2 linked regions of the Macaca fascicularis genome follow. The protein of the gene in region 1 binds, or shares a complex with, the protein of each later gene. Links are inferred from orthologs where the notes say so. Each region holds a gene or a part of one and is shown on either strand. Other genes may lie near its edges.

What was found.
Region 2: the proteins of GLB1 (region 1) and CTSA are in contact, whole or in part, in a cryo-EM structure (PDB 7KDV), measured with the Mus musculus proteins. The link is inferred for Macaca fascicularis from reciprocal best matches to the Homo sapiens genes GLB1 and CTSA. Residues at the interface, in NP_033882.1 of Mus musculus: Tyr198, Asp199, Arg202, His206, Leu229, Thr233, Leu234, Gln235, Asp236, Leu237, Lys258, Phe259, Glu260; in NP_001033581.1 of Mus musculus: Glu29, Asp31, Ala37, Lys38, Gln39, Pro40, Ser41, Phe42, Arg43, Tyr107.

What each region holds. Positions count from the first base shown.
Region 1 is NC_088376.1:15,300,555-15,304,892, reverse strand, and holds the start of GLB1 (beta-galactosidase), read right to left. Parts: upstream 2,847-4,338; 5' UTR 2,786-2,846; coding exon 2,711-2,785; intron 2,523-2,710; exon of another isoform or gene 2,419-2,522; intron 1-2,418.
Region 2 is NC_088384.1:101,929,468-101,933,789, reverse strand, and holds the start of CTSA (lysosomal protective protein), read right to left. Parts: upstream 2,985-4,322; 5' UTR 2,894-2,984; intron 2,751-2,893; coding exon 2,569-2,750; intron 2,415-2,568; coding exon 2,303-2,414; intron 2,058-2,302; coding exon 2,007-2,057; intron 1,924-2,006; coding exon 1,837-1,923; intron 1,599-1,836; coding exon 1,443-1,598; intron 1,106-1,442; coding exon 1,014-1,105; intron 25-1,013; coding exon 1-24. Other genes in the region: NEURL2 (neuralized-like protein 2), read left to right, coding at 3,330-4,071. UniProt on the Homo sapiens protein: Protective protein appears to be essential for both the activity of beta-galactosidase and neuraminidase, it associates with these enzymes and exerts a protective function necessary for their stability and activity.

The sequences.
Region 1 (4,338 bases):
AACCAGGAACCAGCATCAGCTTTGTGGGATATTAGAGCATCCTTGTACCCATTCAAAACTCAAAGGCCACTTACGTCTGCCCAACCCACCTTGAATCCAAGCCACTCAAATACCAGTGAGTTGCTAGCTATACTTTATGATTCAAAAAGAAACTCACAGCATTGTGACATGATGGGCAGTTTTCATTTTCTTACCACATTTTCTATACGTTTAAAGTTTCTCTACAGTGAGCATGCACTTGTTTTATAAGAATGTTCCAAATCAGCGGTATTCAAAGTGCGGTCTGGAGAGAGCCCTTCAGGGGTCCAATTAGTCAAAACTATTTTTATTATAATTCCAAGCCATTACTGCCTTTTCCATTCTCACTCTGTCCTGAGGGTGGAATTTTCCAGAGGCTATGTGACATGTGATATGGCAACAGATTTCATGCAGAAATAAACATGAAAATTTGACTGTCTTCTATTAAGAGACATTGAAAGAGATTTGCAGAAATGTAAAACAGTGCAACTCTTCACCCTAAAATTTGGGGAGAAATACTATTGTTTTTCAAATATATATAGTTTATTAATGTATAATGATGTATTATTTCTTAACAAATAGTTTAAAATATTCTCTAGGGCTGGGCACAGTGGCTCACGCCTATAATCCCAGCACTTTGGGAGACCGAGGCAGACAGATTACCTGAGGTCAAGAGTTCAAGACTAGCCTGGCCAACATGGTAAAACCCTGTTTCTACTAAGAATTCAAAAATTAGCCAGGCATGGTGGCGGGCACATGTAATCCCAGCTACTCGGGAGGCTGAGGCAGGAGAACCACTTGAACCTGGGAGGTGGAAGTTGCACTGAGCCAAGATCATGCCACTGCACTCCAGCCTCAGCGAAAGAGTGAGGCTCTGTCTCAAAAAAAAAAAAAAAAAAAAAAAAGGAAGAAAATATTCTCTTAATTTCTAGGACAGCTAAAATTTAGTTAAAATTTGAGAACCGCTGGGTCACGAGGCCAGGAGATCAAGACCATCCTGGCTAACACAGTGAAACCCTGTCTCTACTAAAAATACAAAAAAAAAAAAAAAAAAAAATTAGTTGGGTGTGGTGGCAGGCACCTGTAGTCCCAGCTACTTGGGAGGCTGAGGCAGGAGAATGTCTTGGACTGTAAAGAAATGTAAACAAGGAGATAATGAAAAGCTAGACTGCTAGTATCTTTCTTCAGCTGTGGGCACAGGAGCCCAAGAGGGACACCTAGGCACCTGACATTAGAATTCCTGGGGTGATGCCAGCCTCCCTGTGTGGGCCTCAGGTATGGTAGCCACAGGGCATCCACCCTGACCCACTGATGCTGCACTAGACTGATAAGCTTACATCAGACAGACTGACCCTGTCCACCTGCTCCTGGTTCATAAATCCTTCTCTCTCTCTCTACCCCCACTCCCAGATACTGGTTAAAATCTGCCTTTCCCCCAGCCCCTTACCCTGCCACTGTTCTCCTGAACTGTGCCCCACTTCCACCTTCCCCAGTGGTTCTCACAGCTGGCTAGCTCTGACTCCTAAGGTCCTACGGGCCTTGTGGACAAGAACTCTGTCTACATAACTGGGGTAGGGGAACCACAGACGGGGTGAAGAGGGAAAAGTAAATAATCTGTGCTGACTTTTTCCCAAAATGAAAACATTTTCAGCAGCTGTTTTCCAAATACTTAAGATGTTCAATCTTGGTTGCAGATAAATGTACCACTTTTCTCTGCACTAGGCGCGTTATTGAAAGCCCTATTAAAGGGTGTAACTTACAAGTCCACGGTGTCAAATGCCACCAGCTCTTACTTAAAGCGTGCTGCAGGCTCGGCCCACCTACACCCTGAAGGAACCAAAGTTGGTCCGCGGAACGTGCAGAGGAGCAGCTTGCAACTATCCACTCTCCTTTCCGCAGGTCTGATGCAAACCTCCCCAGGCAGCGCTTAGGAACCCCCTAAGCCCGTCGCCTCAGCTCGGACGAAGCGAGTGAAGCTGCCCTTACTCTCCCACCAAACGTGCACGCCCCGCACCTCACCTATTCGCCTCGCCAGACCTCCCCCCATCAATGCTGGGATCCCCCCGGCAGCCTGCCTATTCCCCCACGCAACCTGGACCCCCAAACGCCGAAGGAAAAGGGTCCCACAAATACGAAGAAAAACCGGAGCCAAAGGGCAGGCGACGGGGAGTGGTGAGAAGGCAACAAGATGCACGAAGAGGGCGAGCACCCAGAGGGAAAATAACCCAGTGCTCCCACAGCAGGGGCCTCTCCTGACCCCATTTTTCTCCTTCCGGAGCGCTCCGCAGAGCACGGACTGGGAAAGCAAGGGCGCCCCAAACCAGAACCCGAGGCACCCTCTAACCCGCGCAACTTGGAATCCCCTCCCGGAAAGCCAACTAAGGAAATCTTTAGGCGCACCTCGTCTCACCACCTCGTTACAGATAGGGAAGTGAGTCCAAGCGCAGAGGGCAGCCGGAGCGGAACGCACAAGCGACCGAGCTGCCTGGAAGGACGCGCGCCCCGCCCGGCCCGCCCCCGACGGGAAGGCCGGTCCACTGCCTGCGTTCCGCCGGCCGCCTGCCTGCTGGGGGGCACTTCGGGGCTCAGGCTCTCCGCCCTGCGGGACCCCGGGTGGCTGCGGCCCAAGTCCGGTTCCCCGCCAGCCTGTCCCCTAGCAATGCCTCCCCGTACCCGAGTCCCGCAGACTTACCCGCAAGCCGCGCGTAGGGCCCAGAAGCAGCAGAGGCAGCAGCAGAGGGAGGATGCGAACCAGGAACCCCGGCATGACCACCAGCCTCCCGGCTCTGCAGTCGGCGCCCAGGCCGGCCGCTCCGCGTCACTTGACTAAGGACCCGCGGCCTGGCACCGCCCCTCGTCCGCCCAGCAGCCAGCCCTCGCGCCTGCTCAGCCCCGCGCTCCGCCCCGCTGTGGCCGAGCCGGGCGGGTGGGGGCGGCTAGGAGGCTGCGCGCGGCCGCGTGACTCCAGGATAGTACTATCTGGGTTTTGCAGGCGTCTTGCCTGGGAGGGGACCCTTTGTAACGGCAATCGGGAGGCCCTGCTTTCAGCAGCTTGATAACGCGCCTCGGAGATTGGACATGAATCATGGTCTCCCTGTTTTCTGGCTTCCTTGAGAGAGCAGAAGAGGGAAATTGTTAATTACTAAACCTAAACGCCCTAGATCAAGTCCGCGTATCATATACGGGCTCTTTGAATAATTCTAAACTAGGGGTTAGCAAAATGTGGTCGGTCCCTGGAGCCACTGTATCAACTCACCTGGAACTTGTTAGAATGAAAATTCTGCTCACGCCTGTAATCCCAGCACTTGGGAGGTCGAGGCGGGCGGATCGCCTGAGGTCAGGAGTTCCAGACCAGCCTGACCAATATGATGAAACCCCATCTCTACTAAAAATACAAAAATTAGCCGGGCGTGGTGGCATGCGCCTGTAATCCCGTCTACTGGGGAGTCTGAGACAGGAGAATCACTTGAACCCAGGAGGCGGAGGTTGTGGTGAGCCCAGATCAAGCCATTGCGCTCCAGCCTGGGCAACAAGAGTGAAATTCCGTCTCAAAAAAAAAGTTAAAAAAATAATAATAATAACCTTAGTTTGTGCCTTGGTGTTCCAAAAAAGCCTTTTACATTGTATAACAAAGTAGCCAAAAATTCTATTTGTTCACTCCTTTCTCCTTTCCTACCGGACATTTCCTTGAGAGATTAAGAAAGTATCAGTCACTGGCTTTTCTTCCTCAGGTTTTTGTTTTTTGGTTTGGGGGTTTTTTTTTGGTTTTGATTTTGTTTTTTTGGGACAGGTTCTCACTCTGCCTCCCAGGCTGGAGTGCAGTGGCGCGAACACGGCTTACTGCAGCTTTGGCCTCCTGGGCTCAAGCAATTCTCCCGTCTCAGCCTACCAAGTGGCTGGAACTACAGGCGCGCACCACCACACCCGGCTAATTTTTGTATTTTTTGTAGAGGCAGGGTCTCACCACGTTACCCAGGCAGGTCTTGAATTTCTGGAATCAAGCAATCTGCCTGCCTGCACCTCCCAAAATGCTGGAATTACAGACATGAGCCTCCGTGCCTGGCTTCTTTTCGTGTCTGGAGTACCAATTCCGTGTGCTTGCACTGTGAAGTCCTTTCCAAGCTCTGCAATTCTAGTTCAGTATTAAAGAACAAGGGCTCTGGTGGCAGTACACTTGAGTTGGAATTCCATCTCTGCCACTTACGATCTGTGTGACTGTGGGCAAATTAACCTCTCTGAGCTTAGTTTCTTTGTTGGTAAAACAGGGATAATAATATCAAATTCACTGGATAATTGGGGAAATTACTAGCGATGATGACG
Region 2 (4,322 bases), on another chromosome or scaffold:
TGGGTCTGGAGAGAAGACCAAAGCCTGTAGGAGATGAGAGTGAAAAGTGCATCAGCCTCTGGTGGGAAGAGGAGGGCAGAGGAGGCGAGCATACCCCCACCTCCCACCAACCTCCCTGACCCTAGGAGACTAGGAAAGGTATCACAGGGTATGGTCTGCACGTCACCTAAGCTAGCTCCCAAAGAGGTGCCCCAGGGTCATACAGACAGGCCTCCTTAGTTCCTTTAAAATCTGATCTCTGGCCGGGCGCGGTGGCTCAAGCCTGTAATCCCAGCACTTTGGGAGGCCGAGACGGGCGGATCATGAGGTCAGGAGATCGAGACCATCCTGGCTAACACGGTGAAACCCTGTCTCTACTAAAAAATACAAAAAACTAGCCGGGCGAAGTGGCGGGCGCCTGTAGTCCCAGCTACTTGGGAGGCTGAGGCAGGAGAATGGCGTGTACCCGGGAGGCGGAGCTTGCAGTGAGCTGAGATCTGGCCACTGCACTCCAGCCTGGGCGACAGAGCATGACTCCGTCTCAAAAAAAAAAAAAAAAAAATCTGATCTCTGGCTGGGCGCCGTCGCTCACGCCTGTAATCCCAGCACTTTGGGAAACCAAGGCGGGCAGATCATTTGAGGCCAGGAGTTCGCGTCTAGCCTGGCCAACAGCAAAATGCCATCTCTACTAAAAATACAAAAAAATTAAGCAGGTGTGGTGGTACGTGCCTGTAGTCCCAGCTGCTTGGGATGCTGAGGCACAAGAATTGCTTGAACCTGGGAGGTGGAGGTTACAGTGAGCTAAGATCGCGCCACTGCACTCTAGCCTGGATGACAAAGTGAGACTCTGTCTCAAAAAAAAAAAAGAAAAAAAAGAAAAATCTGATCTCTATTCTTTGGCCTTTCAGCACTGTGTTCTTTCTGCAACCCACCTGCTGCTCATAAACCTGGGCTGGGCCTGTCATATCATGTGCCTGGAGGACAGACTCGAGATCATGTGACCCTAGAGATTGCCCAATTGCCCTATCCCATACCTGTTCCCCAGAAGGCCATGGTAGTAGGCAAAGTAGACCAGGGAGTTGTCATTCTGCTCATAGGAGGAGAGTCCATTGCCCACAGCCAGCCCCTGTGAAACACCCAGGGCGCTCAGCTCATGTGGAGGGCGAAGAGGAGGAGCCTCCCTCACCCTAACACCCAGACCTTCAGCAATCCGGAAGCTGAAACCCAGGGTGGTTTATGGGGGCGGTTGGGTGTGGAAAGTCACTCAATGCAAAGCACAGAGCTGGCAGCCTGACAGATGAGTTTCCTGTTGTGGGAGGCACACTAGACAGACCTAGGGCAGCTGGTGGTGGGGAGGGTATGCAGGGAGCTGGGTTGGATGGGGCTGTTGACCAGTCTGACCTTGCTAACTGCAAGGCCACAGCCTCAAGGTGCCTCCCTTCCCTCCTGCAGCTGCCCTGCACCTGAAGGTTCATGCTGGGGTCCTGCATGACCAGCACGGCCAGGGTGGGGATGTAGATGCCAGCATAGCTCTCCCCGGTCAGGAAAAGTTTGTTGTTCTTATACTCCGGAAAGAGGTGGAAGAAATCTTGAAGGGCCTCAAAATTGCTCTGGGCGACCTGGGGATGGGGGAGCAAGACAGAGGGAATCAGGAAGCTTTGGTATTTGAACTGGAAAGAACTTCAGAGATAATGACATCAACCCACCCTGTCTGTGTAAGAGGAAGTGACTGGCCACCATACCACAAGCATATGACAGAGCGAAAAGTGGACTCCAAGGCCATGCTCTCTCTCCCAGCATCATGCCATGGATGGAGGACTGGGGAGCCTGGGGCAGATGGGCAGGCACCAGACTCACCTCAGTGTCATTAGTTGCATAAAACTTGTCATCAGAGTAGGAGAAGCCCACCCCAGCTGGGGACTCCAGGTATAACACATTAGCAATCTAGAAGGGAGGGAAAAATTAGTCAACTGCCACTCCATCCAAGTGCCCAGACACCCCCACAGGACCCACAGCTCCAGCTATACCAGATTCCAAGAATAGGGGTTGTACTCCAGGGTGACACCATCTGGCTGGACCTGAGGAGGAAAGAGATGGCTGAGTAAGTCCCAAGGGCCAGCTGGGTGGAAGGAAAGGGCCACCGTGAGAGGCACTTTACGTGTGGGCAAAACCCCTGAGAGGTACAAGCAGCAAAGCCAATGGCATAGAGGAAAATCCCAAGACTTAGAAGGAAGGAAACTTTCTGGTAAATCACAAAGTCCGTTTCTCCCTTTCCCCAGCCTTTTTCTTTAGGAACTGTGCTTTACCCCTGCTGTCCACTCACCAGGAAGGGGCCATGCTCTGTGAGGAGCCCATCTAGGGAGCTGCAGCCGGGACCCCCATTGAGCCAAAGCACCACAGGGCTGTTCTCGGGATCCTTCTGGGACTCCACAAACCTGGGAAGGGGTGTCAGGGCAGTGTTGGTGCAGTTGCAGGGGTCCTTTCCGGCCCTCCCGGCTCCCAGGCGTCCTCAGGGGTCTGCAGAACTACCCCCCACCCCTCATCCGTCATCTCTCCTCCCAGTCCCGCCCGGGAGGCAGGGCGGCAGACCAGTAGTGGAGGTGCTTGGAGCCGGAGCCTTTGAGGTAGCCGGAGTACTGGCGGAAGGACGGCTGCTTGGCCAGCCCGGGGAGGCGCTGGATCTCGTCCTGGTCCGGGGCTGCCTCGCCTCGGGGCGCCCAGGACACTAGCAGCAGCAGCAGAAACGGCAGCGGCGGCGCGGCTCGGATCATCTACGGGAGGCAGAAGAGGGGCTGTTGCCTCGCTCCTCAGCGCTTCCGTGAAGCAGCACCCGGGTAGGAGCTGGCGGCGCCTCCGCGAGGGAAGCCCCGGCCCCAGCGCCAGCTCCCACCCTCAAGCTTCCTCTACCGCGCACCGATCCCGGGCTCGGGGATCCCCTCCAGCCTCCGGTGCCAGCTCACCTCTGCTCCCCCGTGTCCTTGCTCTCCAGGAGGCGCCCGGGGACTGGAAGTCATGTGTACTCCGAGTCACGTGAACTCCGGCGCCACGTGACAGTCTTCCTCCCGCCCCTTCTTTGGTCCCTACCGGCCTGGGGGGCGGTGGCGGTCAATGCCAGGTCAAGGTCCGCGGGCCTCGCGGATCGTAGCCCGGGCGCACGCGATCAGATGATCCGGGTGTGGATGGCCAAGTTCTAGGAGGGATGGCTGAGCAAGCGGCGCTAGGACCCCCGGGCAGAGGCTCGGGGAAGGGAGGCAGGGGGAAAATGCCTTACAAGGTCCCCTTGCGGTCACCATCTGAGCCCGCCGCCCAAAATAGCCCCGGCGCCCGCCAGCCTGCCTTATGGCGGAGAGATGGCTGCTGCCTCCGAGCCCGTGGATTCGGGTGCACTCTGGGGACCTGCGCGCCCGGAGCCCCCTCCCACCCGCTTCCATTGGGTGCACGGTGACAACATCCGCGTGGACCCCTCTGGGACGCGGGCCACACGCGTGGAGAGCTTCGCCCACGGCGTGTGCTTCAGCCGTGAGCCCCTGGCCCCGGGCCAAGTCTTCCTGGTCGAGATCGAAGAGAAAGAGCTGGGCTGGTGCGGACATCTGCGTCTCGGTCTGACGGCGCTGGACCCCGCCAGTCTGGCCCCCGTTCCCGAGTTTTCTCTGCCCGACCTAGTCAACCTGGGCCACACCTGGGTCTTCGCCATCACGCGCCACCACAACCGCGTGCCCCGGGAGGGCCGCCCGGAGGCCGAGGCAGCGGCCCCCAGCCGACCTCCAACCCTCCTGGTGGAACCATATCTGCGCATTGAGCAGTTTCGCATTCCCCGGGACCGCCTGGTGGGCCGCAGTCGGCCAGGGCTCTACAGCCATCTCTTGGACCAGCTCTATGAGCTGAACGTGCTGCCTCCGACGGCGCGCCGTAGCCGCCTGGGCGTCCTCTTCTGCCCGCGCCCCGATGGCACGGCCGACATGCACATCATCATCAACGGCGAGGACATGGGCCCCAGCGCCCGGGGGCTGCCAGCTGCGCAGCCCCTCTACGCGGTGGTGGACGTGTTTGCTTCCACCAAGAGCGTGCGCCTTGTCCAGCTCGAGTATGGCTGTAGGTATCCCTGGGCAGCGACCCCTCCTGGCGCAATGTGGGGACAGGAATCTGCTAGGGCTCGTAACCAGTGTGCTAGGCCTCCGTCTGTCCAGCACTAGTTTAAGAGTGGGAGAATCTAGCTTCAAATTACACCTCTGCTTGTGATCTTGCACAAGCCTCTACCTGGTTTTGGGCCTTGGTACCCATCTTGGCTGATGGATTAAGATGCCCTACAAGTTCGCTTTTAGTTTTGAGAATGTTTCCTGTAT